3 linked regions of the Struthio camelus genome follow. The protein of the gene in region 3 interacts with the protein of the main gene of each other region in a pairwise test. Links are inferred from orthologs where the notes say so. Each region holds a gene or a part of one and is shown on either strand. Other genes may lie near its edges. The genes, in order: CDC42EP2, ZYX and CASS4.

Region 1 (9,548 bases), on a different chromosome or scaffold from region 3:
GAAGCGGGATGCGGCCAGCTCCTTCCGGGGGTAGGGGGGCGAATCCCGTCGGGATGGCGACCCGTTAACGGGGCAGCTGCCATGGCGGGGGGGGGATTCTTACCCAAATTCCTCCGGCCCGGATGGATTTACTGTTCCGTCTTGCTGAATCCCCGCGGATCTATCGCTTGGCAGCGTCCTGACCGCTTTGGGGGGGGAATCCGGAGCTGCCGGGAGCTTTTATCGCTGGTCGCCTTCGGAGCGCAGCCTTTTCGGCTAAGGTGGTGGCGGTGCGGGGGGGTCCTGGCGTCCCGTTTGCTCGCTTGGATCGTGCCGTTCTCCCTTTCTAGAACTGCCAGCTCCTCGGATCCTTTGCCGACGTCTTCAAGCTGTGCCTGAAGACGATAATAGAAGGGACGAGAAGGTAGGGAGGGAAACCGAGTCGGCGCGGCTCGACGCCGCGCTTCGCCCCCGGCAGCGGACGGACGCGCTCTTTCCCCGCGGCATCCCCAGGCCTCTCCTTACAGGGACGGGACGCGGGATTTAACGAATTCATCCCTAACGAAGCCGTGATAAGCGATTGGCGGCGGGGGTCGCTTCCCGCTGGCTGTCCGGTCGTGTCCCTCGGTAACGCGGCCGCTGGCATGAAGCGGCGAGCCGGTAGCGGCATCCTCGGGTGCCGGGTGGGGAAACTGAGGCACCGGGAAAGGGGCAGGGCTGTGCCAGTGCCGTGGGAACCAGAGTTGGGTGAAAAACCTCGTTAGAGAGCCCGTAACGAGGCCCTGGAGTGGATTTTGGAGCGGTTTTGGCTCACTACGAGCTGTAATTCATACTCGACTCCCAATTTTTTTTTTTTTCCCCTCCCCTCGGTGCCCCGAGAGCGCTCGGGAACGATCCGCGTCGTTCCGCGGCGGCGCTTCTCCCCTCCCGGCGGTACCGAGGCGGGGAGGAACGGCGCAAACAACGAACAAACGAGGCTTTCTTCCCCGCCGGGGCGAGCGCCGCGCGCTGCCAGCCTCTTTCATCCGCTGCCAGACTCCGGCAGCGGCCCCCGCCTCTCTCTCGGGAAAACATCGCAGCCCGACGCCGCGGCGCCCTGATTTTAGGAGCGCGGACGCTCCGGGGCGCTGGGCCCTCCGCGTCCTGCCCGAGGGCTCCTGTAGAATTTCTCCTTTTCATTCAGCCGAATTGACGTTTAAATCAGCCGACTGGCTTGAGCTTTCCGTGCCTCGCGCCGAGGCGCTCCGCTCGCCCTCTCGTTAGGCGAAAACGAGGCCTCGCACCCCAGGATTCGGCTTTTGAGGCCGGATTCGTGGCTCCGTTGCTTGTAAACATCTCCGCTGAGAAGTGAGAAGGAATTGCGATCTCTGGGAAACCGGAGCCCTTTTTGTGGCCGAATCTGGTGTAAAAAGTGCTCCGAAAACACGGCGCGGTCCGAGCCTCGGGTGTGGGGTAGCTCTGCTGCCGGCTTCGCAGCTTGGGTGGGAAAAGGAGATAAGGGGATTTTGGGGGCTCGAGGGGGATTTTGATCCTCCCAGAGCCTGTGCCCCCGACGCGGGGCTTTCTGAGGCCGCCCGGCCGCAGCTCGTCCACCCGGAGCGGGCGCCCGCCGCGTTTCGATGCCTTAAAAGCTGAAGCGGGAGCGGGCGACCTGCGTGGCTTCGGCTCCCGTTTTCTCCCCCGTAACGGGTCGCTCTCTTCCCGGCAGCGCCGGCTCTCAGCTCGTCTTCGTGCCGTCGCTGCGGGACGTTCACCACGACTACGTGTACCCGCAGCCGCCCTTCGCCTACCCCGAGCTGCCGAAGGAGGACAAGCCGGTAACGTCCTCGAAATCAAACCCGTCCTCGAGCGAAACGGGATAACGGGTTTTGGTCGCTCGTTTGGGGCGAAAAGCGGCGTCTTTCTTGCGGGTTTGCCCTCGGCCTGTAGAGCGGACCCGTCCGGAAAGGACCGGCAGCGGTTCTCGCTGGCAGGATCCGCTTGGGAGCTCCCTGAGGAGCAAAAATCAGCGGAGCTCAGGCTTCCCGGGAGAATCCAGCTGCGATTCACTTTATTTCTACTCGCTCGCGGGTGAGAAAGCGAGAGCGCCAGGGAAACCTCCTCTGACCAGGAGGAGGAGCTGGGAACGGATGTCCTGGCTGCTCCTGCCCCTGTGTCCCGCTCGTGAGGTCGTGGGGCTCCCCGAGACGCGGGGAAATAAGGAATGCCGTAAAAGATATCAAGATGGTTTTGCCAGGAAAAACGCATCGTTTGAGGCGGATTTGTAGAGCCCAGCCCTACGCGTCTCCTAACCCTCTTTTTCCTAATTTAACGCGTTTCTGACCGAGGAGCTTCCACGCCGCTGTCGTGGCGTCGGGCGACTCCCCAGCCCGTCCCTCGGGTTTAGACGGATTCGGAGATGCCGGCGGCGCCCTTGCCGGAAAAACCCATCGCGTCCCCCTTCTCGTTTCAGCGCGTCCACTTCGTCTCGGACCCCTGCACCCTGGAAATCAACGGCACCGTCTTCGGCTTGACCTCCACCGACCTGCTCTTCCACATGGGGGCCGAGGAGATCAGCAGGTGGGCGCCCGGAGGCGGCAGCGGTCCCTTGCCACGTTTTCGCGGCGGGAGCTGCCGAACCCAGACCCAGACTCGCCGGGTTTTAGCCGCTCCTGCGGAGAGAAGCCTCAGCCGCTCCCTCCGGGGTCGTTTCGCTCCGTTTTGCCTCTCTGGCATCCCGCCTTGGCGAACAAAATGCCACCGGCGTTTCTCTGCTCGGGCTGTTTTTCTCCTGGCGCGTCGCGCTCCGTTTGCGGGGCTCGGAGGAAGAGCTGGCCCGAGCCCGCGGTGCTGGGCAGAACAAAACGCTTCGTTAGCCGCTTGCCTGCGTCGCTAATCAGGCCCGCTGGCTAATTGAGCGGCGCAGCATGTCAACAGTGACCTCACAAACGAGCTTAAGCGCTACCTTTTATTCCCCCCCCCCCCGCCCCGACTCCTTTTATAGCTTGTTTTCGGTCTCTTACAGCTCCTCGGGCATCTCGGACAGGTTCACGCGGATCCTCAAGCACGTCCTGACGCAGAGGAGGTGAGGCGAGTTCCTGGATTGTCGCCTAGCCCTGCCGAAAAAGGGCAAAACAACTGAAATGGCGCGCTGCCGTCCCTCCCGCCCCGCTTAGGGTGACGTTTTTCAAGTCAAAATGCTCCTTTTTGAATTCGATAACCCTCTAGATGCGCGATTTGGGGGTGCTTAATGCCGTACGTCTTCCAGACCGGCCTGCGCCGTCCCGCAGGACGCAACTGGGTCGGATTTTCCAGGCCGGTGTCCCGAGAACGGCCGGTAGCAGATGCCTGAGGACGGGGTAAAAGGAATAGGAATAACTGCCCACTCCGGAACGATCCGGTGGTTTTATGGCTCTCCAGATTAGCTCCGAGCTCCCGCTTGTTCCCCTTGAACAGACTGTAAAAGAGCGGCAGCTGTACGCTGATGTAAATTTGACCCAAAAGCTATGTTCTAACACCAAAACTGAATCCGGTTTAACGCCCAGCCGGCTTCCTCCGCCGTGAGGAGGCGTCGGCGCTCTCGCGATGCCGGAGGACGCGGAAGCGCGGACAACCTCTCTCTGCTCTCTCCGGCAGTTATTACCCGCTCTACCCGCCCGCGGAGGAGATGAACGTGGACTACGAGAACTTCTACAGCTACGCGGCCCTGCCCGTCACGCCGGACGTCCTCGTCGCCCCCTCGGAGCTGAGGTACTTCGTCAAGGTAAAGCGGAGCGGGCTTTGTCCGCTCTCCCGTGCCGAAATTCCCCCTGGGAAATTCTCCTTGGACGTAAGCTGGGATCGGTTTTAACGCGCCGGCTCTTTCTCCGCAGGACGTCCTGGGCTGCGTGTGCATCAATCCCGGCCGCCTGACGAAGGGGCAGGTCGGCGGGACCTACGGGCGCCTGTACGTGCGGCGGCACGACGCGGAGGGGGAGCGGAAGAGCCCTTGCGTTGCCGCCCAAGTTGTCAAAATTTAAGCCTCCGCTGGGCGGAACGACGGCGGGAGACGGGACGAAGCCGATCTCTTTGGCCCTCTCCCTCCGCGTAGCCTCAGGACTGCTGCTTTCGGGCTGCTTTTTTTGTGTATTTTGGCACCTGCAAAAGGAAACAACCAAACGCCAGGTGGGTGCTGGAGTTGGCCCGAGCGTGGCAGGAGCCTCCCTTGGCGTCACCTGCTGCCAAGCTGGGCTGTTCCTTCAGGGAAGCAAATAAAATGCACTTTGAATTTTGCGTATAAAAAGAAAAAAAAACCGCAATGCCCTAACGCAATTAATCTGTGGGTTTCGGCGCTTTGCGGGGGGGAGTTGACCCGATTAGCCCCCTGGATTTGCGTTCTTTCCCCCCAAAACTGAACGCCAACGGCGCGGAGCTGGGTGCCCGCCGGCGCTGGGGAATTTGGGTGCAGAAAGTGCTTTTTAAATTTTTTTTCCCTCCTCCCTTTTTTTTTTCGCCTGGATATTCACGACGCCTTACACCAGCGAGGGGTTGCACAGGCGGCCGTCTCGCTCGCTGGTCTCCTGCCTTCGGCTGCCGTGGCGATTACAGGCTGTGGGAAACCGGAAAAGAAACCTCGTCAGTCGGTGCCGAGCGAGGGAAACCGCGTGCTTGGTCTTCCCTCGCTAATTTTTCCGCCTAATGGGCTTGCCGTCCTAATGAGCGCTAGCTCCAGCCTCCGCAGCGTCCTTAAAACTCGGAGCACCGCGAGGGCAGCGTCGCCTCTGCCCGATACCCGAGTCCTTCCCCGAAGGGTTGTTGGTCGCCGCTCAAAGTGTGAGACTGTATTTTAAAACACGTCAGAGGGTGGGGGAAAAAATAAAGACAAAACAGAGCTAACAGCCGCTTTCGGCCCTTTCTAGCGACGCTTCAGCTCCGCCACGGACAACTCTATATGCGTTTAACCAGCCTGCGCATGTTCCGGAGCCAGGTTTGGGCTGGGCTTGGCCTCAGTTTCCCTCACAAAAAGGGTGTTTTTAGCTAAAACGCGCGAGCTGGGGCGAAGGGTGCCACGTCAAGGGGGAACTCGGGGCTTTTCGCCGGGGGGGGATCTGAGGTGAACGAAGCACCCGGCGTCGGCTGTTGCGATCCGGTGTCCTGCCCGGAGTGTCTCTTGCCTCTTAATCACACGCCACCAGCTCCTCTTGAGGAGGCTAATCTGCAATTTTAACGAGCGGGGGATCCGGCCGGGAGCGTTTTAACTCGGCCGCGTCCTTTCAGGCCTGACTCCGAACTCAAACCGGGCTGACGTTTAGTTCCACCCCTCCGTCCGTGAGCTCGCGGCGGCAGAACGAAACAGCCGGGCTCTTTCCAGCGCCACGTCCCCGAGCCGAAACTTAATTCTGTTAGCTGGGAAACCGGGGGGGGGGTCGAATCGGTGGGAATTCCCAGGGATTATTTTGGATGGATGAGTAATGCCGCTCCATCCACGTTCGCTCCGTAGGGAATCCTCCCTTAGCGGCTGGAGTGGACGCAGCTTTTTATCCCGTTTTGCGCTTAATCCCCCCCCACCGCCGCCGTCTTGCGAGTCCTCCCGCCGGCAGCATCCGATGGGGAAAAGCCGTGGCGACGGGCTCCTGCGAAACGCTGCTGTTTTGCTGCCGGGCAGTCAGAAAGGCTGGAAAAACGCTACCGTTCTCGTTCCGTTGGCGGCGGCCGAGGCTCCGTTGAGAGCAAACGTCGGCACCGGGAGAAGCGGGGAGCCGAGGCGGCGCGCTGGGCCCGGGGTGGGGCTTGCCAGGGCTCGGGGCCGGCCAGCGCCGTCGCTCCAGCATTGGCCGGGGCGGCGAGGGAGGGAACAGAGCGCCGGCTGGATGCGGCTCATCGCAGTCGGGTGCGCGAGATCGCAAAAGACGGGAGGAAGACGAAGGTGGCGGCTCGGTGGCGGCGGTGAGTACCGGGGAGGCCGGCGCCTTGGCGGAGGTTTCGGTTTTCTGGTTGCGGGGGTGGCGGGAGGGGGACGCACGCCAGAGTGGCGTTTCCCTACGGCGAAGCCCCTGGGGCATCCCGGCTCCTGAAGCATCCCACCTCCGTCGCCCGCAGAGCGATGCTCCCGTCCCCGCCGGGAAGGCCTGCTGCGGTACCGGCCCGTTTCCCTTCCCGTCTCCTGTCTCTCTTCCTGACTCCGTGCGGCGCCTCCGTTTCCCGGCTTGCAAAACGCGGCTCGTTCCCGGAGCGCTGCCGAACGGGGAAGCGATGCGGAAGATAAGCTGCGCGTGTGCCGGGGAGGGACGCGGCTTTTCCACGCTAGGAAGGAAGTTTTTGTTTCTCCGGTCGCTGCTGTCATGTTTCCCCCCTGCTTCCCTGCCGCCACCGACCCACGAATCCAGTCCTGAAATCCCATCGTGCCGCTTATCTCATCCCGTCTGCTTGCCGCCAGCTCCGAGACCCTCCGTGGCGTTTGCTTTCCCAGCGGATGAATTCGGGAATCGGCACAGCTCGCCCGGAGTCGAGCTGGGGCACTTTTTTTTTTTTTTTCAACCGAGAAGGGAGGAGGCAGAAGCAAATTCTCGCCCGCTGGAGACGATACCGCAGCCGAAATCGAATCCAGCCTATTTTAAATCTGGGGGGGGGGGGGGGATCGCTTACGTGTTATCTATAAAAAGACCCAATTGCCTCCTTTTTTTTTGCTACCGATCCAGCTATGCTCAGTGCGCTGCTTGGTAATTTTAGCAACCAGCTGTGAAGTTTCTACCCGGCTCGGGATTAAAACGAGCTGATTCGTGATCCTTGAAATAGATATCGCGCTCGAAACGCCAGCGGCCGGATCCTCCCTGCCCAGAGCGAGGCGGAGGAAAGGATCGCGGCGTAAAAGCGCGGAGGGCCCTGGCAGGTTTTAAATCCGCGGCTGTGTCAGCATAGCTGGGAAGGCGCCGAAGATATCCGGTGTCGGGACTTTGGCTCCGATACAGGGATATCGGAACGACCTGTGCCCTGCTCCCACCCAGATCCATCTGCTTCCGAGGAAGATGAAAAGAAACTCGGAGCAGGCGATTAAAAGCTCCCGCGTCCCACCGGGGAATTCCCGGCTCTCGCCCCCGCCGCCCGGGGAAGGGCTCGGCTCACGCGTCGGCTTGGGTGGTTGTTGCTGGGTTCGAGCTGTTCCCGTAGTTTTTCCAGGGAAGGATTTCAGCCCGTAGCCGCTCCAGCGGGAATCGGGGCAGGGAATGCAATGAAGCTCCCCGTCCGCTCAAAGGTGGGGTTGCCCGGCGAAGGGGGGAAACCGAGGCGCGGAGCTGGGGTGCGAGGCGGCCTCGCCCGAGTCGATCCGCGCCCCAAACCGCCGGCGGATGTTTCTCCGCCCGGACGCGGCCGAGCCCGGCGAGTCTCCTCAGCTACGTCGCGGCGTGTTTTCGGCTGCCAGGGAACGGGCTGCTGCGCGCGGGAGATGCCCGCTTGGGCCACGTCCTGCAACAACCAGAAGAGACCAATTCTTCCCTGCGGGTTTCCGTGAGGGCGGCGCTGGGCGACGCGGGCCAGGGTCGCAGCAGCCCCCCCACCCCAAAACGCATCCGCCAGGGTTTTTCCCGCTGCTCTGGAAGACCCGTATTCCCCATCCCATCGTGCCTCCAGCTCAGCAAGGGGATGCGCGTTCACCTCCCCAGCAAACATCCCTCTTTTGTGCTGCAAAGGTGAAACTTTTTTTTCTCCCCCCCAGAAGAGGATCTGCGACACATGCAGCCTTCTAGCGGCTGCTGGAAAGAGCCTCGAATGAGGAATCTCTTCCCAAATTTTGTTTTTGTTTTTTTGCTTGTGCATCTCCTGGCGCAAGTCTTTTGCGCTCCTCTTTTAGGTCTGCTTTTACACAAGGTTTTCCCCCAGAAATAGCTGCATTTTACCCAGGTGACTATCCTCCCCCCAGCTCTCTCAGCTGATCTAATTCAAGCTGTTACCTCCCCCTTGAAGGTACCTAAATAACGAAGCTGACTAATAAATGAAGCTGATAGGGCACCACCCTGGGGGAATACACCCAGTGCCCTGTTCAAATGGGCTGCCAGAGCACAGGAAAGAGGCCATTGGGTTGAGCGGATATTCGGAAACGTTTGCTAGGAAGATAGATAGGAGTTACCGGCTTCGTTTTCTGTGGCAGTCATTAACTCTTGTCCTTGCTCACTTGATTTCTGGACCCTGGAGTGTTTTTCACCAGACCTGTGCGCCCCTATATAATGAATTTAAGCCTTAATTACCTTTTTGTGGACCCTTTATAAATAGTCTGTGGAGCTGCCAGGGTTCAGGGTTGAAAACTTGCTGCTCTGTCCATCGGTGAGAGCCTGAGAAAGTTCAGGAGCGGCGGCCCTCTGTGCCGCGTGATGAAGCGTAAGTCCCTGCAACCGGATCAAAAGGAAACAAGCTTTACGCCGGGTGCGGCCGTGGGAAATTAGCTAAACGAGCTAATCTTAACACAAGCTGGGAAAAGGGGGCGGGTGCCGCGGAGCTGTTGCAATGAGCGCTCCCCGAAACGCGTGGTGAGACGCTAGACCTCACGCTTTAGGGCTCGAGTTGATCTCTGAATTATTAGAGACGGCGATGAAACCCAACGTGGGAAGCAGATTAACTGGCCTCTATTTTGGGGGCCTCGGATCCGCTTTTGGAGCGTTTGGTGTTGCCGCTGCCTGGAGCAGGGAAGCTGAGGGCTGCAAAGAGGGAAGAAGTAATCCAGTCTCTGTATCTGCCGGGTTGGCAGGACGAGTCCCGCTTCGGGTCCGTTGAAACTCTGCCTTTAAATCGCAGTCGAATCGTGAAGCCGTTCCTCCACAGCTGGGACGAAACCCCTGGGAACTCGCGCTGCTGCGAAAACAGATTCACTGGGCCCAAATTTCCCTGAAAAAGGGGGGGGAAAGTAGATTAGCGGTGGAACAGGTTGCCCAGAGGGGTTGGGGCATCTCCTCGGGGAGGTTCGGAGCAGGTTGGGCCGATGCCTGTCGGGAGCGATTTTGGGTGAGCTGATCGCGCCCCCAGACAGGGGACGGCCCGCGTGGTTTCGCGGGGTAGTTTTGATGACACGCGACCCTCTGACTTTCACCTTCCTCGGAGTTTTGCGTGCTCAAAAAGCTCCCGATCGGACTGTGAGGAGGGTGCGAATACTTTTGGCACCACGCAAGCAGAAAAGGAGAACGATTTGGGTTTTGTTTTTTTTTTTTGGAGTGATTTTTCCATTTGAATAGTCACAAGTGACACCGGTAGCGCAGCAAGAGCTCCAGGACGGGCCCGTGGAGGGACGCGAGCGCCGAAACGCCGTCCGGCGAGCGCAGGACCAGCGCCGGAGGTCTGAATACCCACGCGAACCTGGCGCGTCCTCCTTCCCTCCCCGCGCTCGCGAAAGGCCGCCTGGCAAATCGTGTTTGTGCAGCGTCTCGCTCAGCTGCTGACTCAGGAGCTGGCTGACCCCATCTGCCGCGGCAGCAGGGACGGTGTTGTCCTCGTTTTAAAGACGGGGGAAACTGAGGCACGGAGCTGTTTGTAGCGACGTGCCCGAGGCTATCGAGCGAGGCATGAGAGCCGTGGTGTTCTGCGCTCCCGGGCTCTCTCTGCGAGGCAATAACCTCTACCCGGAA
Region 2 (10,146 bases), on a different chromosome or scaffold from region 3:
TGGAGTGTATTATGGTGTGAATGCTACTCCGCTCCATAGCTACAGGGTGGTATGACTACAAAGCCCACTACAAAGCAGATGTTGAAAGGATTTAGAACATCTAAAGTTCTAGCTGGGTGCTTCTTTGAGATTGGTGGCAAGAAGCAAGCCCCAGTGTCAGCCATCAAACCAAATCTGGCAAATTCTGAGAGTCCTAGGAACCTTAAAGAGACAGATTTTTCATGTAAACAGATATAAAGAATCTTAAGTGGCAGTTCAGTCATGTGGTACAATGAGTAAATAAAGACTAATGCAATACAGAACTGATATGGCAAATACATGTGTTGCACTGAGATGAAGAGTATGCTAACAGTGATTAGGTGGCTACAAAATGAAAATGAGAATAGAGGTAAGAGAAGAAAAAAATAAGTCCCTGAATGCAAAAGGAAGGATTCCAGGTATGCTAATAGGGAATTAAACTTTTAGGGCATAAAATCTTACCTAGATTCAGCAACTACGTTTCAAGAGGGTTCGGGTAGCTGTGGATGGGAATCTTTGTGATGATAATAGGTTCGAGGTCAGAAGAAAGCAACATGGACGCTGGACAGGATGCTTTTGTTATGTTAATAATATAAAATGTCTGAATCTGTACAGTTTTCATCTATATCAATGGATATAGTAATACTACTTTATCTCAGTCTTAACTAGGTAACAATTAGTAGTGCTACTTAGCAGTCCATATATTTTTCCTATCCTTTTGCCCAACAAAAAGTCCTGTCTCACATCTGTGTTGCATCTCGGATACTTTTTTGATCATGTAACTTCTGTTTAGTCTAACTACATTTTATTGATTTATGCTAAGCTGCTACTCATACGCTTATCCTGTGCTATATTATCATATCTAAATACTATATCTGGGCCTACTGCAAGAGTTAGGAATATATAATGGGTCTGCTCTGGTCCTCAGGCCAAGAGGTACAGAGAAGATCAGGCCCATGCTGCACCTGCATGGGGTCAGGCAAGCAGCTACTACATAGGTATCATCACGCTGCAAAAACAGTCTGCCTTGATGTGCAGGAAAGGGAGGAGGCACTTACCAGACCTCATTCTCCTCACTGAAAGGAGGTGTCAGGGTGCAGTGATTCAGTTCCATGCTGGATGCATGTTGAGTGCTGGATGCCATAGAGTCAAATGCAGAGGCCCACACTGGAGACCACAGAGCCCCCAGTCCTTCTGACCCTCATCATGCTCATGTATCTGTAAAAATGGCATGCAGTTAAGAATGTTATTTGCAAAGATCATGAATTCTCCTAGAGAGGTCTCTGAACAACCGACTGGGTTCAGTCCCACTTCTGTCCCATTGGCTCCTGTCCCCAAGGGTCCATGCTGCCTCTGTCCATGTCTCAGCAGGATGGCGGGCCTGCATTTCCATGGCTCCTGGGAGTGCTCATTGGAGGCCTTCATCTCTCTCTCACAGTGTTCTCCCTCCTGCTCACTGCTGCAGGGCTCTGGGCCTGAGAGACTAAGAAAGCAAGGAGGCTGTTCCAGTGGATATCTCTTCCCCACAGCTGGAGTATGAGCTGTTCTGTGACTCCAGAAAACTGAGAATGGTCAGCCAAGGACTGGAGAAAGCAGTGGGACGCAGCTGAATTGGGACAAGGCTGGTATGTGTATGGCTGGGTATGGATGCCTATCAGAGGCAATTATGCTTGGAAAGCATTGATACACTTGTCATATCCACAACCTTATGCCCCATGCCTTGCCTCCAGTAAGACAAGTTGTGACATGTTTAGTTGTTATGCACAAATATTGTCTGCCAGAGCTGTCCGTCAAAGAAACAGACCTGGGAGCCTGCCAGGCATGCCCTTGTACCTGGGCATGGTACAAGACTCTTTCTAAGTGCCATGTTTTTGTGGCAGAAGTCTCCTGTCTGCTCATTGGTATGGAGTGTATTCTCCTAAGCACGGCACAAATATGCTATGCTCCTTCCTTCAAATAAGTGTAATCAAAGATATGTACTCACCAGAGCTGGGTGCACAGCTAGTTGCATGCTAGGGGATTTAGTATGTGTGTGTGTGGGAGGATGTCATCCTTGAAAAAGGGTTCCTCCCCCAGATCCAGTCAGCAAAAAGCAGGCTCTCAACTCCCCTGGGTCTCATTCTGAGCTTCCTCCTGCTCATACAAAGGGAGAAGTTCTGTGGTGGCCTCCCAGAGAAGCATCTGGTGCAACTCAGTATTGCAGGGAGAGAGGTGCTGAGCTACAGCCAAACAATAGGCAGTCTCAACAACGTTACCTTGGCATAGTATCTTGATCTCTCCAGTCTCCGTGTGGCCCCTTTCTACCAGAGTGTCATTATTTTCTTGCTGCAGAAGAAGCCCCACAGCTAAATAAGGAGGGGTGGCTTTGCAGACTGCTAATCTTCTCTTTTTGTAGCAGACTAACAAAGATGTGCAATGCATGTGCCAGGGCATGGCATGAAAGCATATTGGACTTGTGAGAACACTAGGAGTACATAAGAAGATTGTTCTGGGCAGGAAGAATGAAACTTGGTGTAGTCCTATAGAGGTGTGGACCTTGAAGTGAACTACCCTCTCTTTTGAGCCTCACCAAAATAAATAGTTGGTTTAGTCCAGACTGAAGTCCTGACACAAACTAAAATGTGCATAGTATAGATGATGAAAGGACCAAGGCCTTGGAGCAAAACAAGAAACAAACAATATAGGCACCCGGTCTGACAGTCTGCTTGCCGAAAATATTAAGAAAAACACTATCTACAAACTGCACAATAAAACACAGTTTCAGCACAACTTTAAGTGGTGCAGTTCCTCAAGGCCTTGCTTTGCAAAAGCAGGAACTATGGAGCTGTATGGAGTTTTCTGCAGTTGCCAGGCTTGGTACATGTGGCTACTAGTATGTTTGCAGATTAATTTACTGCCAATATGAGTAAGAGGATGATTACAGACGAGACACAAATCTTGGACTGTTTCCTGGGGCTGGGGGTGTAATTATCAGGGCCTTGCAAGGGAGTACCAGCTTTCAGTACCAGCTACAGGTCTGTGACAAGTGACAATGTATGGGAGAGAGCTGTCCTTCAAGCTATTATGATTTTCAGTAGGTTGAAAACATAACGATGTGAAAGGCCTTACAGAAGATGTTTGCTAAGTTAATTCTAGCAACGTGATCAAGCGCTGTATGAGAGCTACTGGCTGGGGAGAATAGGAGAGTAGTAGCTACAGGCCACCAATTCTCAGCACTTTGTAGATAGTCTGTGTAATATTGAGAGCTCAGTAGCCACAGCTGCCGTTTAAAATGCAGGAGAGGTCTTCAAAAAGTGGTTTATCTCATACTACAAAGTCTTTGACAGTTTGCCCATTTGGTTCTCCAAAGATGTGCTGAGGTGACAGAGGCATAGCCTAATTTCTGGATTGGTATTTTACCCCAATGAGAAGGGATTTCCTTCTATTAAACCTGAACCATCGCTGCTTGTCACCGCTATCAGTGGTAGATGGCCTGGACAAGGACTTGAGGCATAGCATTAAACAACTGAGCTATTGATGTGCATTTCTGGAGAGGCACTTCCTTCAACCAGGGCATTTTCCAATTGTCTTGATGAAGGTCAACAGGATGACCATATCTCCTAGGTAACCTGGCACACCTCCTGACCCTTTGCTTCCATGGCTCATGAAACAAGTTATTTGGTATCTTTACTTACCCTTATCCAAAACACTTCAGTTACCAGGTAAGCAGCTTTAGGTATGCATTTGGCTGGCTGAAATCTACATGGAGATCATCAGTTGTCAGGCTTCCTATGGAAATGTACTTCTTCCCTTGGATTCTTGAGTCCCAAGTGATGTCTGCAACAGCCCTGGCTGAAAGTTGGGAACAGCAGGCAGTGAAAAATGCCTGTGAAACTGTGCCAGTGGGATCTCATCAGGTTTCTGATGAAAACAGGGTGGGCCATGTTATGAGAGAAGCCCTATCAAACCATTTTCTGCAGAGTGACTGATGGTTCCAGAGACAGCATTACACTTACTGCTGCCAAAATAAATAAATGGGGTATTTACAAAGCTATTTGTAAATAACTGGGCCTCCCACCAACAGCTTTCTTCCCAACACTTTCACACCTGGTGTTCAACCTCATAAAAAGAGTTGCTGGGACCTACCAGCAATAATCCTTTTGCTTCCTGCTTGTCTGCCTTTATGGCCATGGTCTCTAAAACAGTGTCCTCCCAATCTTGCCCATCAAGCCTCTATCTTAAAAATATAAAACAAAAAATGAGATTTGATAGAAAAGAAAGTATATACTTGTATGGAAAACAGGCTTTTAAAGCAAAACAGTAAAGATTGTAGATTTGTGCGAGGGTATGGTAAATTTAAAACAGTGCAAGAGCCATCCATATATGATATCCACACAATGTATAGGTAGGCACTGGATGATGACAGCCTTCTCAGATGGAACATCCTGAAAGCAAAGAAGCCTCCTTGGTCAGCTCCAGTTGTCCACTTGCTTTGGGAAGGGGAACACTGAACAGCCTGCATTTCTCCATTGCAGTAAGAGATACAGTAAATTGTAAGGGATAAGAGATAATAAGAGATACCAATAACAAAGAACAAGAACTTCTTTGTTCAGACTTCATTTTAAGCTTTTGGGTATTTTAAAAAATGTTTTATTAAGATTTGTGTAACTCCAAAACCGTGTCGCAAACAATTATGTATAATCTGAGAGCTTCCAGTCCCCATCCCCTACATACCAAAGAGAGAGAGTGAGAAGATGACAACTGATATTTTGTAAGGCTAAAAATATTGTGCCTTTTACATAACACTGAGAATTTAAAAAGCACATTTGCTGCTTCAAGACTATTTTTAAAAATGCAGTTTGAGCAACACCACTAGTACAGATTCAACTGACATTTAGAAGTAGCTGATGTTTCACTGTTTGGGAATCAGATATTCAGTAGGGAATGAAGCATATGTAATAAAAAGCCAAATAGGATTCAGAGCCTACCAAAAATATTGGCACCCTAATATACAGCTCATGTTTATGCTGTTGGTGGTGTCTGTTTTCCAAGTGCATGCCACCTCCGCCTTTTGACTCTCCAACTCCTCAGACATTCCCTCTAAGTACTAACTACTAGATGGCGAGGAACCTGTGCCTTCTCAGTTTTCCTACCACAGATTCACCTAGTTCCCTCTCTTATGTTCCCGGACTTCCCTATCCCTTTTTCTCATTTCCTGGCATCTGCTGAGCCCTTCCCAGCAGGGTGGGGGTGGAAAACAGTCCTTTTTCTTTGAGCTCACTCATCTCCCCATTGAATGCATCACTTGCAAAGCTCCAGGCCATGGCAAGAGAAACCAGAATTTCACAGCATGGCCCTGCCTACCTCCAGTCTCAGTTCCATGCGAGTATGCACATAGCTGCTTTCAGAGACAAGGTATGTACATACAAGGAGGCAGAATAGATTTATGGAAGAGACCCGCCAGAACGATGTTGAGTGGGTGAAGTCTGCAGCAAATGAAGCAGGCTAGACTTACTAATTCTGTAATACCAAACTGTAGTTCCACAGAGCAATGGTTCCTCCTGCCCAACTGAAAGGCGATACATGATCACTTGCAGTAGGTCAGTGTGTTACACATGCATCACCGAAATGCTAACTGAACAGACTGCATCATCCTAGTTCCAGATGGTGAATTCTTTTGTGAATCTTCTGTGAAGTCTAGAAATGGGAACTGTATGAAAGATGAGATCTAATGTTGTATATATAGAGCAGAACCTCACACTTCTACATGACTCTAGATCAAAATCAGACATGGATGAAGATGTTGGGAGAGTAATACATTTATTAAAAAGCTACAACGCAGCAGTGTTGTTCTGACAGCAAAGAAAGCTATAAATCTTGTAGAAAAACTAATAGAAGGCAAATATCAAGGTAAGGTGAGAAAATTAACACCACCAATGTGAAATTAAGTTGAGAAGCTAAAAGTGGTGAACACTGAATATTGAACATTTATACAGATGTGTACCAACATGCCAAACCTGTGTTTTTCAAAGAAAGCTGATTGTTCTTTCAGGGAGCACTACCAAATTAGATCACACAACCAGGATCTTGCAGCAGAGCAGGTGTGGGAGTGCTGTCTGTTGTTACATTACAGCTAGCCCACTAATTGCCTGCTCTTCATGTGTTGGGATGCCATACCTTTCCACTGTGGACATTTTTTTAATTTTATAAATAAATACCTTTTTAAAAAAATTAAACCTGGGTTGAAATAAGTGTAATTTTAAGGTAACTGGCTAACACTGAAGTATTTCATCCCTCTGAGTAAGTTTGTCCTTAATTTGGGACATCCCAGCAGTGCTCAGTTGTCAATAGATAATTCCAAGATATCCAAAAGGTGTGTCTCTACTTTGGCAGAATAAGCCACTCCGAGAACTCCTCATGCAGAGGAAGAGGAAAGATAATCTTTTGGTGACCACCATTAGTTCCCTTCAGTAATATGCGGGAAAATGCTATTGAGCACCATGAGGATTTTCTGACAAATACTCTTCCTGAGAGGGTAGGTTGACTAGTTTTGTCTCAGCATCACACGAATGCACTCTCATACAGTTTTTTTATGAACTCTAGGTGCAGGCAGAACAAGATCACATCTGCTTGGATGCGAGTGTAGGTAAGCATGAGCTCACTCATACTCCCAGTGTGTAATGCAAACATATCCTATGCCTGTACCTCTACCTCTTGTCCCTTCTAATCTTCAGTTGATTTATACAGCCTGAAATATTTTCGCAACTTAAGAGGATCCAGTCTTCCACTTATGTCAGACAGGTTACAACCTTTTCAGGTTCTGAACTACACTGATGATGCTTTTTTGATTCTTTGAATCTCATAAAAAGCCTTTCTGTTTCTCTTCTGCACCAAAGGAGCTCTGAACAAGAAAGAATGGTATGAGTCATTTTGCTATCTCATTTCCTCTTCAGTCCACATGAAAATTCTATCAGTAGCTAATACAGCTTGATGCAGAATTAACTCTTGTGGCTTCTACTCCATTACTTCTATGAAGCAATTATAGAGAGCTCTGCCAGCAGAAACATTTACTGGGGAATCTATATTGCCAGTGGCAGAAGGCCAGCAGAGAAGCATACTGGAGCAACAGTCCCTGGAGGGTGATTCCTGCCTCTATAGATCTGATATAGATATTATTTTTGCAAATATCTTCTACACATGAAGCTAGTAGGCCTCTGTATATTTTCCATTGCTGAAGATGCATCTTGCAAGAAACATGGCCAAAGTTTCTCTATATCTTTCTCTGATAGTAGTTGGTCAGGCCACAGAGCTTTAAATAAGGATTTTAGAAAGGATCAGAGAAGGAAAAGAAAGTGAACAATCATTTTTCAGAGCCTTTTCATGGCTCATGGATACACATGGTTGCTAGTTAGGCCTTTGGGGATGGGAAATGGGAACTAATATTAGGATGAATGATAGACAGTAGGATGACATTTTAAATTGGCAATTTTTAGCTAAAAGTGGAACATTAGGTGGCAAGATATATGTTTGTAAATTTTTTTCTTTTTAAGTGGTTTGAAGGGCAGCTAATGGAAAAGGTAAAGCATATATCACTTACTGAGATACAATCTATGTCCCTAATAATTAACTGATGAAATGAATAAAATTACTAAGCAGGTAGGGATGGTGACAATAGCTTTGTATTTTATAAGTAGTGTTTCTCAGGAAGAAGCTGTTCCAGCGTTTATAAGATTTTTATATTATATTTATAATACATCTGGAAATATATATTTAGTAGATGTGATTCATCATTGTTTTCTAGAAAAGATAAATAATGCTGAGCAGGCAGCTCTTAAAAAGCAAACAAACAAACAGCTATCAATTTATAGCATAGGTCTGTGTTAAGGGTTATGTTGGAAGCACCTCAGTGTGGATTTGGAACAAATTGTTAAAAAACAGAGCTTGTTGAAACTGCTTTGCTCTCTGCTATTGCTGACCCCTCTCCTGGGCATGAGGCCACTATCTTTAGCTTTGCTGGAAGTATGTCTTCCTCCCCACCATCCCTGCTCTGACCTAGGATCACACTCTGCCTGTGTGCAGGAAGGGGAGGATGAGACCGCTGGAGGGGACAATCCCTATCAGTTCCCCACTCCACAACTCACCTCAGCATTCATCCCTCAAGCCAGGTAGTGCTCACTGAGGAGCACATGCTTATCTAGGTTACTATGACATCTCAGTCAGTGTCACTGTTGCATTCATGGTGTAAGGTGCAGGAAGCAGGGAGAAAAGGTCCAAAGGAGTTTTAAGTCGCTCTTCCACCAGTTGAATTCTTGACCTTGCTGGAATAAGTTAGAGCAGCCCTGAAGCTCTGCTCTGCAAACAAGAAGTTGCTAAGGGCAGCGATGTAAGGACTCGTGACAGCTAGAGCAGACGGGTTTGTCCTTCTTGCCTGCCCAGCATGCCTCTCCTAACAGGGTTTGCGGAGGGGGAGCTCTACAGCCGAGCATTAACAGAGGGGCACAGAATTTTGCCCATCATACAAATCATGTAGGAGGTTGCAAGTGGCTATTTCTATCGCTCCCCTCCCTCTCAGATACCCAAATCTGTAAAGAATAGATCTGCATTTCCTCTCCCTGTCTCCTAATCCTGGGTGAAAACTGACATTTACAAAAATCTTTCAGAGCAGCCTTTAAGTCAGCACTGTGCAATATATATTTTGTACACACTTTCCTACATGAAATTACAGCTTTGATGTTTAAGAAAGTAATTGCAATGCTTATGGAAAATATTCAGAACTTGTCAAAAAGTGTATTTCAAAGTAAAATAAAACAATTTATTTGTTGTCATTCACTTCCTGTGCCTTGCAGCAGAAATAATGCTGCTCAGGGAAAGCAAGGACAGACACTGTGGAGGGACAGTTAGCTTTAGGCTCTGTTCTCATCCTTTGTTCAAAGATTCAGTCCTGTTACCCACTTTGTACAGGATAATACTCAGGAAATCAGATTGCCCTGTGTGGGGAACATGCCATTGAAGGATATTAGCAGACGTGGCTGGAATCCGGTAGAATTCTATCTTGCTACATTTGGTAGCAAACCCAGAATCCTGCTGGCAACCATTTTGATTTGATCGTCATCGGACTCAACAGTTGGAAGGAACAACAAAAATGTCTCTCACACACAGCGTATGACTGTTGTAGGCCCTTGTCTTACGGTGGTATATGTTAAAAGTCTGTACTTAAGAACAATTAACACTCATATTTGATACCTGAGATGCCGCTGTATTTCTTCAGAATGTAAAATCACTACTTGTTTATGCTACTCTATGATACTATATTTTAACTGAATTCAGGAAGTAAGTTAGGTATTAGCTTACTAAAAAGTAGAAACTGTACACTCATAGTGAGTTACCTACAAACCTACTGTATGGAAGAACCAACCAGCTGTTTCAGAAATACTCATCATCTAATCGAATCTTCTGAACTTCTAATGGAATGAAATTTATTTTTAAAATGTAGATTCATGTGCATAAGGTCCGTAATGAATAAATGTACCAGTAAGAACCAAAAGACAGTTACGAGTCTATCCTTTGATTAAACTGATGATGTTAAAAAATAGCTGACAAAGCGAGGCTGCAGATATCAAGCCAGCGTACAAGATTCTTCCAGCAACTGGATGATACTGATTCCAAATAAAAAAGAAGAGAGCTTGTGCATCAAGACACGTGAAACATCTATGAAGTGGGGTAATAGTTCTATGGAGTGAATGAACAGACACTGGGTATAATTTCATAAGAATGATGGCCAGTTCACCCTGCCGGAATGGAGGGATCCTCCATCTTTCCAGCTCTCTCTCTCAGCTATGCATGCCTGACGCTTACCTTGTGGCAGCACAAGCGCTTGCCAGATCCTTGTGTAAACTACTACCTCTCTAAACCAGCAGAAGAGAAACTCATCAAGAACTGGAAAGCAGCTTTTCCAGCAGGCTAAGCTTTAGGATTGCTTGCCTGCCTGTGGAATGACACCCTGAGGCAGAAGTCACAGCAGAGTGATGTGGGTGATGTAGCTCAATGAAGGAAAGGAAAGCCAAATGTGCCCTCGCTAAGACCTGGAATATGCCTGTGAGCTTGAGACAAAATGATAGACAAGCCAAAGGGTCAAGCACATGGAATAAA
Region 3 (10,128 bases):
TGATCTGCACAGCTGGAGTGGTTGAATCTGTCCTGTCCTCTAGGAAATTCTAGAGTATACTGTGTGTGTATATAACTACAGAACAGTATTTCTAGTTGACTTGACTGTTCTGTGCACAATTCTAACTGAGAAAATAAGTCTCTTTAGAATGTAGCAATGGTATCTATGGGAGGTTTACTTTTAGGTCTTTGAAAATTTCTTAAAACTGACCCTATTTGGGATCATATTTTACTGCATACATTTAATGAATTTTTGCATCCTTTTCACAGGAGCTGGTTTGAGTGGACGACAAGTACATAGGACACAGGCTGTCTTCAACCATACAGAGGACTATGTGCTGCTTCCAGATGAAAGGACCATAAGTCTCTGCTGCTGGGATTCAAGAACTGCTGAACGGAGAAATCTTCTTTCTCTTGGGCACAACAGCATCGTCCGTTGTATTGTTCACTCTCCTACCAACCCTGGTTTCATGACCTGCAGTGATGACTACAGAGCTAGATTTTGGTACAGAAGGTCAACCACAGACTAAAGACACCTTTATGAAACAGTGATTATCCAGATTCATTATATCATCTTGTATTGATTGTACTGCCAACAGATGCCTAGATGAGAGCCATGCTGTGTCTGTTTTTTAATTCTGTCAAATGCGACAGAAAAATGCCAGAATACTGAGACTTGAGTTTTCGCCCCACACTAATTTTTTTTATTAGTGTGCGTATGGCATTAATTTTTTTTAAGTCATCTCTAGTTGTACTCAAGGGAGGGGAAGGGGGAATAAAATGATCCTTGCAAGAAGGATTAAACTTGTTCTCCTATCTCTAAATCCTGTGAAAGATAATGTGACTGAATCTTGCTCAAACTGGGCAGAATGAGCCAGTTTTGCTCTGCATTGTATCTGTGCAATCCCACTGAGGTCTGTTTAAAGAATGGATTACACAAGTAACAGCAGAACTTGGCAAATACTTTAATGAAGCCTTAAGCTGCCTTCAGTTCTGATTCATGCTTTGTAAAGCTCTATTTTGTATCTTTTTAGTCTGTTTTTTGGTGGGGTTTTTGTTTTTTGTTTTGTTTTTTAATTGGCTAAGTGGACCTTCAATTCTGAGCCAGTCTTGTGCCACAAGAATTTGAAACACAATTTTAAATGGTTTAGATGAATTCCAGAAATGGTGTTCTAGTTCTGATATTAAAGCTCAGACCTGAAATCTTGTCTTTCATTTGAATTTATCTTAACAAGTGCAACTTCAAAGGAAGCTCACGGTATTTTCAAGGAATAGCCACACTGCAACTGTAAAAGGCTGGTGTGGCAGTGCCGCGCCGTGTGAAGATGACAAGAATAGTTTTGCCATAGAGACCTACAGTATCCCCGCAAAGAAATAAATTGTTGCGCGTTTTGATTTTTGTGTATGTACCTCAGCAATGTCATTTCATTTTATTTAGAAATTTTTATTCTGTAGTTGCTCTGTATTCAAGAGCACTTGAATGACATTCTTTTTTTGATTCAAAAATCCAAAACAGTTCTATTTATTTGTAATAGTCCAAGTTTCCCAGACATCATATTCAGCAGATGTACAGATTAAGATCCTCTGTGCTTAAGCCTTCTGTAAATTTGAAAATTCACTACTGCTCACAGATTATCTTGCCTGTGCTAGGCTTCAAATATGTTCTTTCAAGCATTCGGTCTGTGGCTCCAGTGATACAGTACTCCTGGGCTTCACAGTTGGGAGACTTTCTTCGGTCACAAGCTCAGCACTTGCTTTCGTTAGTATTTTCAAATATTAGATTGTTCTTACTGATGAATTAACTTTCCATTGTCACTGATGAAGTATCTTGTCAAGGGCTGAAAAGGGTAAGGTTTTGTCTGTATTTAAATAAAATTACCTTTTAAAAAGTTATTTAATATACAAAGAAGGAATTGTATTAGTTTTCTATATAACAAAAGGCAAGCGAATTAAATATCGGAAGGATCTCTTTTGGGAATGTGTTATAGCTTGATGAGTCGGTCTGTTGCATTGCATGTGAACCTGAAATAACTAGAGTTACGGTTTGGAATGTAAATGTTCTTGTTTTGTTTTTTTCAGGTAGAGAATGCAGTTTAATTTTCTCTTAATTTGTTCTGCACAGCAATAACTTTTCCTTAGAAATCTTCTTCCCTGCCTCCCTCCCTTCCCCTGTTGTTTCCCTGCCCGCCAAATTTTTAGAAGTGTGGGAGAGAAGAGATAGTGGTTTATGTGGCTTTTCTGGTAGAGAAGGAAGGAGAGCAGGGAGAGGCAGGGCTTTGTGGGAGGGAAAAGGGAAGTCCTGCAACACGGTTATTAATGCCTGGTGAATTAGCTCAGTAATCCCAGACCTCTAGTAGAGTCAGCCTGCTAAATTGATAGCAGTGGTAGTTTTTACTAGGCTCCTGCCTTCTTTTCTTCTTTAATTCTGTTAAAGACGCTGCCCATAGGTAACTCATTTGCTACTGTTACCTGGACTTGTTTATTTTTAAAATATAACTTGGAGGTTTATTTATTAAATGACTGCTGTAACTGATAAGATAGCAACCTACTAGCTTTCACCTCGTGCTTTCTTAGGTCTACGGTCTTTTAACTTGTAACATAAAAGTAGAAGCTTGTTCCTTAAAGCAAAAACATACTGAAGTGAACCCTTTTCTTTTCATATTGTGTATCGTGTTGGTTGAGGCCAGGGGCTTCGGTCTGGGGAGGGAATTGTTCAAGGAAATAAAGACAGGAAAATACTTACATGGGATAAGTAAGTTGATAATGCAATCACAGAGTAAAATACTTTCGGAGCGCAAAATCCCGGTGGCGTTATGTGATGCCTGGAGGTGATTGATCTGGGATGAGAATGAGAAGACAAGTTTGCTATATAAAAAGACAGTGTTCAGAGCAAGCATGCTTTGGAAGTACTGTGAAGCGGAGCTACAGCTGCATCTTGAAGAACACACCTAGTCTTTTTGTTAGATCTGCACTTGATTGAAGGGGAACTTGTCTTTCAGTGTACAAATCTGGAGGAATCTACATACATGTTCTTTATGTGATAGATAAGACTTACTGGTCAGAGAGGCTTCACACCTAGAAGCTATATTTGATGCTCTTGGCATGTAGATGGCTACAGGTGTCACCAGTGGTTAGGGAAGAGAGGGATGCAGAAATCTGAGATGAATGGGAGCAAGAAGGGGCTGATGAATGGGAGCAAGAAGGGGCTGCTGTTTTCCTTCTCATATCTTATCTTCCCGACTATAAGGGGACTAGAAGACTGAAGCCATGTATGAAGTCAAGAGAAAGCAGAGTGTACAGTTGTGTGTGTGTGTTTAACCACTTTTGGTGGTTAGTGTCCTTTTTCTCATACTGGATGCTTTTATAAAGGGAAGGCAGAATGAGATGGTATATTTCCAATTCCCACCAGAAGGCCTAAGGTTTGGTGTAGGTTGTTCTTGTTAAGATACCTCTTTCAGGGGGACTTTACTTACTTTGCTTACAGTAGAGAGTTACACTTCTACAATCCTTAGCATGGGTATGATTCCATCTTTAAGCAATACTATTGTAATTGCGTGTTAGCTGCTGCAGAGGAGGAAAAATGAAGTGCGTTTAGCTGCAAGATATTTGTATTGATTGATCAAAATGTAGGTAATTGCAATAATGTGCTTTGCTTTTCACAGTAAGAATAAGAGATTGGCCAAGCTTGTTACCTTGCTCCATAGCTTAGGCAGGTAGTTCAAAAAATACTTCCCATCCTGCCTTTGAACAAACACACTCAGAGGTAAAGTCCAGACAAACTGACCTGCACCTTTTCAGAAACACTATTTGTTGTTACACTATTTGTTGTTACCCTTGTGCTATAAGCATCTATTAAAATAGCCCCTAAAAAAACGAACAAAAACAAACAAAAACCTGCTCCAAAATTTGGATTGGTCTTAGAGTGAGTTTTGGAAAGATCAAACGATGACAACTGTTTCTAGTGCTCTTTCTAGTCTTTGTAGGATAGTACAAGTGTCTGCTGAACTCATCACTGCTGTGAAGCAGCTTTGATAGTGTCTTTGGATCATGGATCTTACTAACAGCCTCAGAACAGCTCTGTTTATCTGAACAAAAACAAGAACAGCCAAACCTTGCAACTACAGTACTGACCTTTCAGGTGGTCTGTATTGGAATTGCTCTTCCTTGAAATACTCTGAGTAGCGTTAAGCAAGCCTCAACCTTTTGGAATAATATAGCTGGTGAAGAGAGCATCTTTGCCACTGACTTCTGTGATAATAGAGAGCAAACCTGGTAAACCTCTTCAGATGAAGCATCTTTTTCTGGATGTTTTAGAAGCGTGTCCTGTTCCCAAATCTGCATTTCCTCCCTGAGCAGTTCAGTGGCATTCTAAAGAGGGTTCCACAAGATAGGGGAGGAAGGGATTCGGGGGTTGTAGGAAAGATTTATCCTGTCACTAATAAATGTTCCTCAGTACTCTTAAGAGAATGAAGAGCGTTATAGGATGGAGCCAGCTGTCTCCTCAAGCTATGAGATGTATGTGTATATTAAATATACTTAGTCGCTAGCCCTGTACCTTTGATTTTCAGATGTTCTGTTGTTATATCCTTCCAGAGTCTTTCTTTTGAGGCCAATAACTTTTCAATTCTACTGTTTTAAGCTCTTTGTTCCTCAAAGCTTAAGGTCAGCTCTGCTTCCCGGTTAAAGAGGAAGCAAATGTGTAAGCAAGCCTTTGTAAAACAGACCTCTTGCCCAAGGCCATCAGCTGTCAAGGGCTTTGAGCATCTGATAAAGACAGTAGTAACCCATTGCCCTTCGAAGAAAGAGTGATCTTCTATTAGGCAACAGCTTTGACTCCCCTGTGAGGGTGCTAGTTGAATGATAAACATCGCTCTTCCATCTTTTTCTTAGTTTTGACACGCCTTCATTTTACAAAGAAACATCTGGCCAGCCATTCAGGTTCTCATCTCTTTAGTCCTTCTGCACTATGGAAGGCAATTGCTGATTAGTAATTGTAGCCACCCAGCTGAGGAAACTAGGAAACAAGGCTTGCTCATGTTCTGATGATGGGCTTTTTCAAGACTTCAAAATGCCTATCTGTTTGCCTTCTTGGACCGCTGGCTTGAAAGTAGACAGAGAAACATCCCCTGGATTTTACCTGTTCTTCGCGCAGGGGTGGTTTGAAATTAGTTTCTACTGATCAAATAAAATTCCAGTGCACCTGCTTGCCCGTCATCAGTTTTGTCATCTGTACCTCTTGGTACCCTAGCAAGCTCCTCCGCTCAGGGAAGCACGTTCGCATTCAGGATTTATTATCTGCTCAGGAACGTTTCCTTAACCTGTCAGATGTATCCATCTAACATGTAAACTCTTCTTGCCACTACTCAGAAGAGACTGTCATGGAAAAGCGTTGAGGTCGTTTGACAGCTAAAGCGTTAGCTCAGCAAACCATGCCTATCTAAAAGCAAAACACCTTTGAGGACAAATCATAATCACGGTTTTGTATCTTTTTGGCCTTTGGGATTCTTTGACACAGTGACTTGACAGCCTTGTAACTGGCACACAGATCTAGGGAAGGTCTTTCCTAAAAGGGCACTTGTGCAATTAGACTTGTTTACCACCAACAGAAAGAAATTTCAAACTTTCTACCTAAGAAGGGTACTGGTCTGGGACATACGTTTTTCTCATTTCCTGGACACAGAGGTCATCTGTCCACCAGAGCTGCCCTGGGATACTGTGAATCCTGATAAAAAAAAATGAAATGCAATAAACCAGGTGATCGTCGTCCAGGTTAGGAAGTTCTGGCATGTGGCTGTGATGGACCCTCCAAGCGAGCTGCACCGCAATTGCTCCACCTAACGAGCATAGTGCTGCAAACTGCATTTACAGCCCACACCTAGTTTGTGTGTGTTTAAGCCTTGATGCAGCTTGAGGGAGTCTTTTGTAGTGAATGCAGCCCCAGATATACAGGGTAAAACGTAAAATTTCTGTCATTTCACAAAGCCCCTTCTTTCCATAACAAAAAATTGTATAGGGTGTTTTAGATGGTGAGACAGCTTTGAAAGACATTAAAAATTTTGCCTTAGAAATCCTGAATTAATATGATTGTGGCAGTCTTATTTCTATCAAGCATTGTGCAGCCTCTTGTGGTACGTAGTATTCCTGCAGTCACTACATTTCTAAAATAGGAAATACAGGAACATGTAGCAAAACAGAAGGGTGAGACTTCTGAGTGTGGTTAATTGCGACAAGTTGGTGACAGAGAGATCAAGGAAGATTCCGCTTGCAGGCAGACTTTCTTCTCAGTGCTAGACACCATTAGGGTTTTTCTGGTTTATTTTCTTTTTAATCTTATCTGTTGTCGCAGAAACTGTCTTTCATGAGAGTCTTTTGTACAACTTCCTAAATGCTTTTAAGGGTATAGCTGTCAGATGTGTTTTCTTGAGAAATAGTTCCTGACACACTGTGACTGTACAAAACTGAGCCCTCTTTACCCAGTAGTAGTAATCTGCATTGCTCAAAGTGACACTGCTGGTGAAAGACAACAATGGACAAAACCAGAAGAATCGACAGAACTGCAAAGGTATGTCTAGTTTTCAAGTACAGCACATAAACGATTAAAAAAAAGTCCTAGTGTAGGTTTGATGTTTTGAATTCAAAATGATGCTTGGTGGTATTGGAAATGTTTGGTATTCTAATCCTGAAGTGGAAGGAAGGTTTGTTAGGATGCTAATGCGCCTGATGTACCTCTGTGCTTTTTGTTGTGACAAAATCGTTAACTACAGGAAATGCCTTTTTGGAAAGGACTCTGAATAAAGTAGGATTCTCAAATAGTAAACACCTGTGAATAAACAAATTTGTGAAATAATAAACATATACTTCCAAGGTTCCATCTGCCTTACTGCCATCCAGTAGTAACATTTGATATGTGATTATATTGTCAGAGACTTACAGCAGTAGTTCAGGTGACCTATTTGCAGAGAACTTTCTTACATAAGAAATCAAACAGTAGAAAGTACTGTTTTGTTTGTTTCAAAAGACTGCAACTGGTTTATAAGTTTTTTGAATTTATTCATTTATTCTTATTGCATCTAATATAATTTCATATACATATATGGATAAATTAACTTGCTGGAGCTGTAAGGGCCAGAGAATGCTGAAGTCTTGTCTCCTAATTCACTGCTTTGTTTCTCCTGCTGTCTGCAAGCTTCGTAAGCAGCGTAATAGAATTATTTTTTTCATCTTGGATTATCATCTCAATATTTACTGTAAATAAACTGCTGGCTGGAAATTTGAAACAAAATATAGTGGAAAAAAGGTTAGTCTCAGCTTGATGAGCCATTTAACATTTTCCACTGAGGTTTGTAAAGATAAGAGGACAATTTTTCATGTTAAGTCAGCAGAAACTGATGGAAAACATTTTTCACCTCTATTCCAGAGAACAGAGTATTTTTTCAGTTTTCTTAAGTGGCTTGCTGACGTTTAAATAAATGTAATGGTAGCAACCTGATCTCCAGTCCTGCTCTGAGATCCTTAGGCACAGCCACAGCACACAGGGGAAATAACAACTGGAAAAGTCAAGTTTCTTTCTGCTATATCATTCATGAGCTGTTTATAAGGTTCCCACTATCCTAGTATCAGTACATTACTGTTTATCGTAATAGCTGAATGCTGTACTTAATACACAAATACTAAGGATGTGTTTTTTTGTAGTATCTGGACTTCTTGAAGCACCGTGTACCAACCATCAGTAGCTTTGCTATGACAAGTAACACTTTGCAATTCTTGCTGTGCTCCAACTGTTCCATCTTTGCAAGATAAATTCTTTCTGAAAATGAATTCAGTGTATGATTGCACCCAGAAAAATGACATTATTTCTTCGTTATTGTGTATGAGCCAGTGACAAAGTCTGCACAGGAAATATTGCATGTCTGGGTGCAATTTAAAGCACGGTTACAGAACATGCGCGGGAAACACTTCTCTTACTGTTTGACTGTGCTGTTACCAAAAGAAAAACAGGAGCATGTCTTAACTACAGATTAAGTTGGTCTGAAATTTGTCTCTTTTTCCCAAATGCCCAGCTTACATATTCTGGTCTTGTCCATGCACAAGTGCATGAACAACAGTCTTTCCACACAGTCTTCCAGTATTCAGCATTGGTAAAGGCTTCTGGTGGACTATTGTGTGAAGTTTGCCACGTCTCCAGAAAAGATACGGACATGTTGGAGGAAGTCAAGATCAGGGCAATGAGAATAGTCAGAGAAATGAAAAACAGGGCTTACAGGGAAAGAGTGAAAGGACTGGGATTTCACAGCCTAGAGAAGAGAAGATTGGAGGGAGTCACAGTGTTCAAACACATAAACAGCTGCTGTAGAATATGAAAGGAGCAGGTTGTTCACTGTGTGACAGGGTAAGAAGAAATAGAATTTAAATTACAGCAAAAGCGATTCAGCTTAGATGACTGGAGAAAGAGCAAGGATAACAATAAGCAGATGCGAGATGTGAGATTTGTTTCTGTGAGCCCTGTCTGCCCTTGGGAATATGTCCGCCTGGAGCTAGTTGACTCAAAATGCCTACAGCTGTGCACCCAGACTCCACCTCAAATACCTGGGAGCAGGGTGTCTCAAAATAGGATTTGCAACAGTTAATGTATTGAGCAAGGAGGTACTTAAATAGCCAACAGGAAATGCTGGAGAGAATAGCGAAGTTTCCGTCTTTCTGGGCCTCAAATATTTAATTTGGGAATATTCCCAGGGAAGTCAGCTGGAAGTGAACTCAGTGCCCATCTTTCCCTGGGGAAATCTGAGAGGTAAAACTTCAGCTCTGTCATGGGCAAAACAGACTTGGCTCAGGGAATTTTTTCTTAATTTCATTTATTGTCAGTTAATACAAACTTACAATTGCTGATTTGGGTATTGAGAAAAAAAGAAAACATAAACAATAAGCAAACACTTAAATAAACACCTTTCCTCTCCCTTGCCCTGGCTCAGCTTAAGGCAAATGCTTCTCCTTCCCCATTCCTAGTCTCAGTTTGCTTTATTTTCACCACGTTACGCTCAGTCCACCCCAATTCCTCCAGGGAGGCGATGGATGGCGCAGGAGGTTGGGATCAGCATGTAATGGTCTGCCACCCTCCTGGGATTCATACTGCTTTTCCTCCCCTCCTTCATGCTTCTTACTGTCGCTGCTCCAGCATGGTTCCTTCATGGGCTGCAGCTTGCTGCTGGTGTCCCCATCCCGTGGAGGGTCACCCGTGGGCCGCAGTCCCTCCAGGGCAATGCATCCCTGAGGCATGGAGCACCTCCTGGCATGAGCGTGTCTCCTGTGAAGCATGTCCTCAACCATCTCTGCCTCCATGTGTCTCTTCCAGCATCTCCCACGTGTCTCCTTGCATGTCTCCTCACATGTCCTCTCCCACTGAGCCTTCCACTCTTTCTTTAATGTGTTTGAGCAGAGATGTCCCATGCTTACTCGCCTGGCTGACGTTCTGGCGCGCGATGGCACCACTGCAGGCCCTTGGTTGCCAAGTCCTGCCACATGTGCCCGGCTCTGTACCTGTGCATGTACTGCTTGGGTGCTCATGCTTGAATTAGTTGGGTGCTCAGCATGAACTAATGGGGCATTCATGCATGCATGCTGGAAGCCCTGCAATTTATACCCAATTCAAGCTCCAAAGACTTTGAGGGTTATACTCTTGGACTAGCTGCCTAAATTTAGGGGGAGTGGTAGGGATTTGGACTGTAGTATTTAGAATTTGGGCTGGTACCTGCTCGCCTTTATCTCCTAGGTGTGCCGAAGGCCAGACGCTCTCCATCTTCTGCGGTGCAATGTCTCTGAGCTATGGCCATGGTGCTTTGATGGGGCTGGCAGTGGGGTCGGGTGGATCCATGGCTGCAAGGACGAGTGCTGCAACCCCGGGTGGCGAGGGGCATTCGCTTCGCCACATTGCAATGCCTAGCTGTCACCAATTTGATGGATCACCCAAAAGCGGTCTTGTGACCGTCTTGTGACCTCTAGTTGCAGCCTTGCTACTTGTATTTCTAGACTGTTACAAATGCTGGTAGCACCTTACAGATTTCAGGGTAGTAAATTAACGGTTGTTCTTTATCCATTGCATGATGTGGAGTGTTCACACTAGTAAAAGTGCTGG

The links.
Region 1: the proteins of CASS4 (region 3) and CDC42EP2 interact in binary tests that used the Homo sapiens proteins (3 or more experiments, as listed by UniProt). The link is inferred for Struthio camelus from reciprocal best matches to the Homo sapiens genes CASS4 and CDC42EP2.
Region 2: the proteins of CASS4 (region 3) and ZYX interact in binary tests that used the Homo sapiens proteins (3 or more experiments, as listed by UniProt). The link is inferred for Struthio camelus from reciprocal best matches to the Homo sapiens genes CASS4 and ZYX.

Annotation. Positions count from the first base shown.
Region 1 is NC_090976.1:822,873-832,420, forward strand, and holds the start of CDC42EP2 (cdc42 effector protein 2), read left to right. Parts: upstream 1-5,683; 5' UTR 5,684-5,883; intron 5,884-6,949; exon of another isoform or gene 6,950-7,189; intron 7,190-9,548. Other genes in the region: POLA2 (DNA polymerase alpha subunit B), read left to right, coding at 330-403, 1,688-1,796, 2,432-2,538, 2,984-3,043, 3,595-3,721, 3,831-3,977. UniProt on the Homo sapiens protein: Probably involved in the organization of the actin cytoskeleton. May act downstream of CDC42 to induce actin filament assembly leading to cell shape changes. Induces pseudopodia formation in fibroblasts in a CDC42-dependent manner.
Region 2 is NC_090942.1:90,285,618-90,295,763, reverse strand, and holds the start of ZYX (zyxin), read right to left. Parts: upstream 4,236-10,146; 5' UTR 4,144-4,235; intron 3,850-4,143; 5' UTR 3,693-3,849; intron 2,152-3,692; 5' UTR 2,003-2,151; intron 1,237-2,002; 5' UTR 1,077-1,236; intron 1-1,076. UniProt on the Homo sapiens protein: Adhesion plaque protein. Binds alpha-actinin and the CRP protein. Important for targeting TES and ENA/VASP family members to focal adhesions and for the formation of actin-rich structures.
Region 3 is NC_090959.1:12,404,728-12,414,855, forward strand, and holds the start of CASS4 (cas scaffolding protein family member 4), read left to right. Parts: upstream 1-6,238; 5' UTR 6,239-6,525; coding exon 6,526-6,561; intron 6,562-10,128. Other genes in the region: CSTF1 (cleavage stimulation factor subunit 1), read left to right, coding at 270-529. UniProt on the Homo sapiens protein: Docking protein that plays a role in tyrosine kinase-based signaling related to cell adhesion and cell spreading. Regulates PTK2/FAK1 activity, focal adhesion integrity, and cell spreading.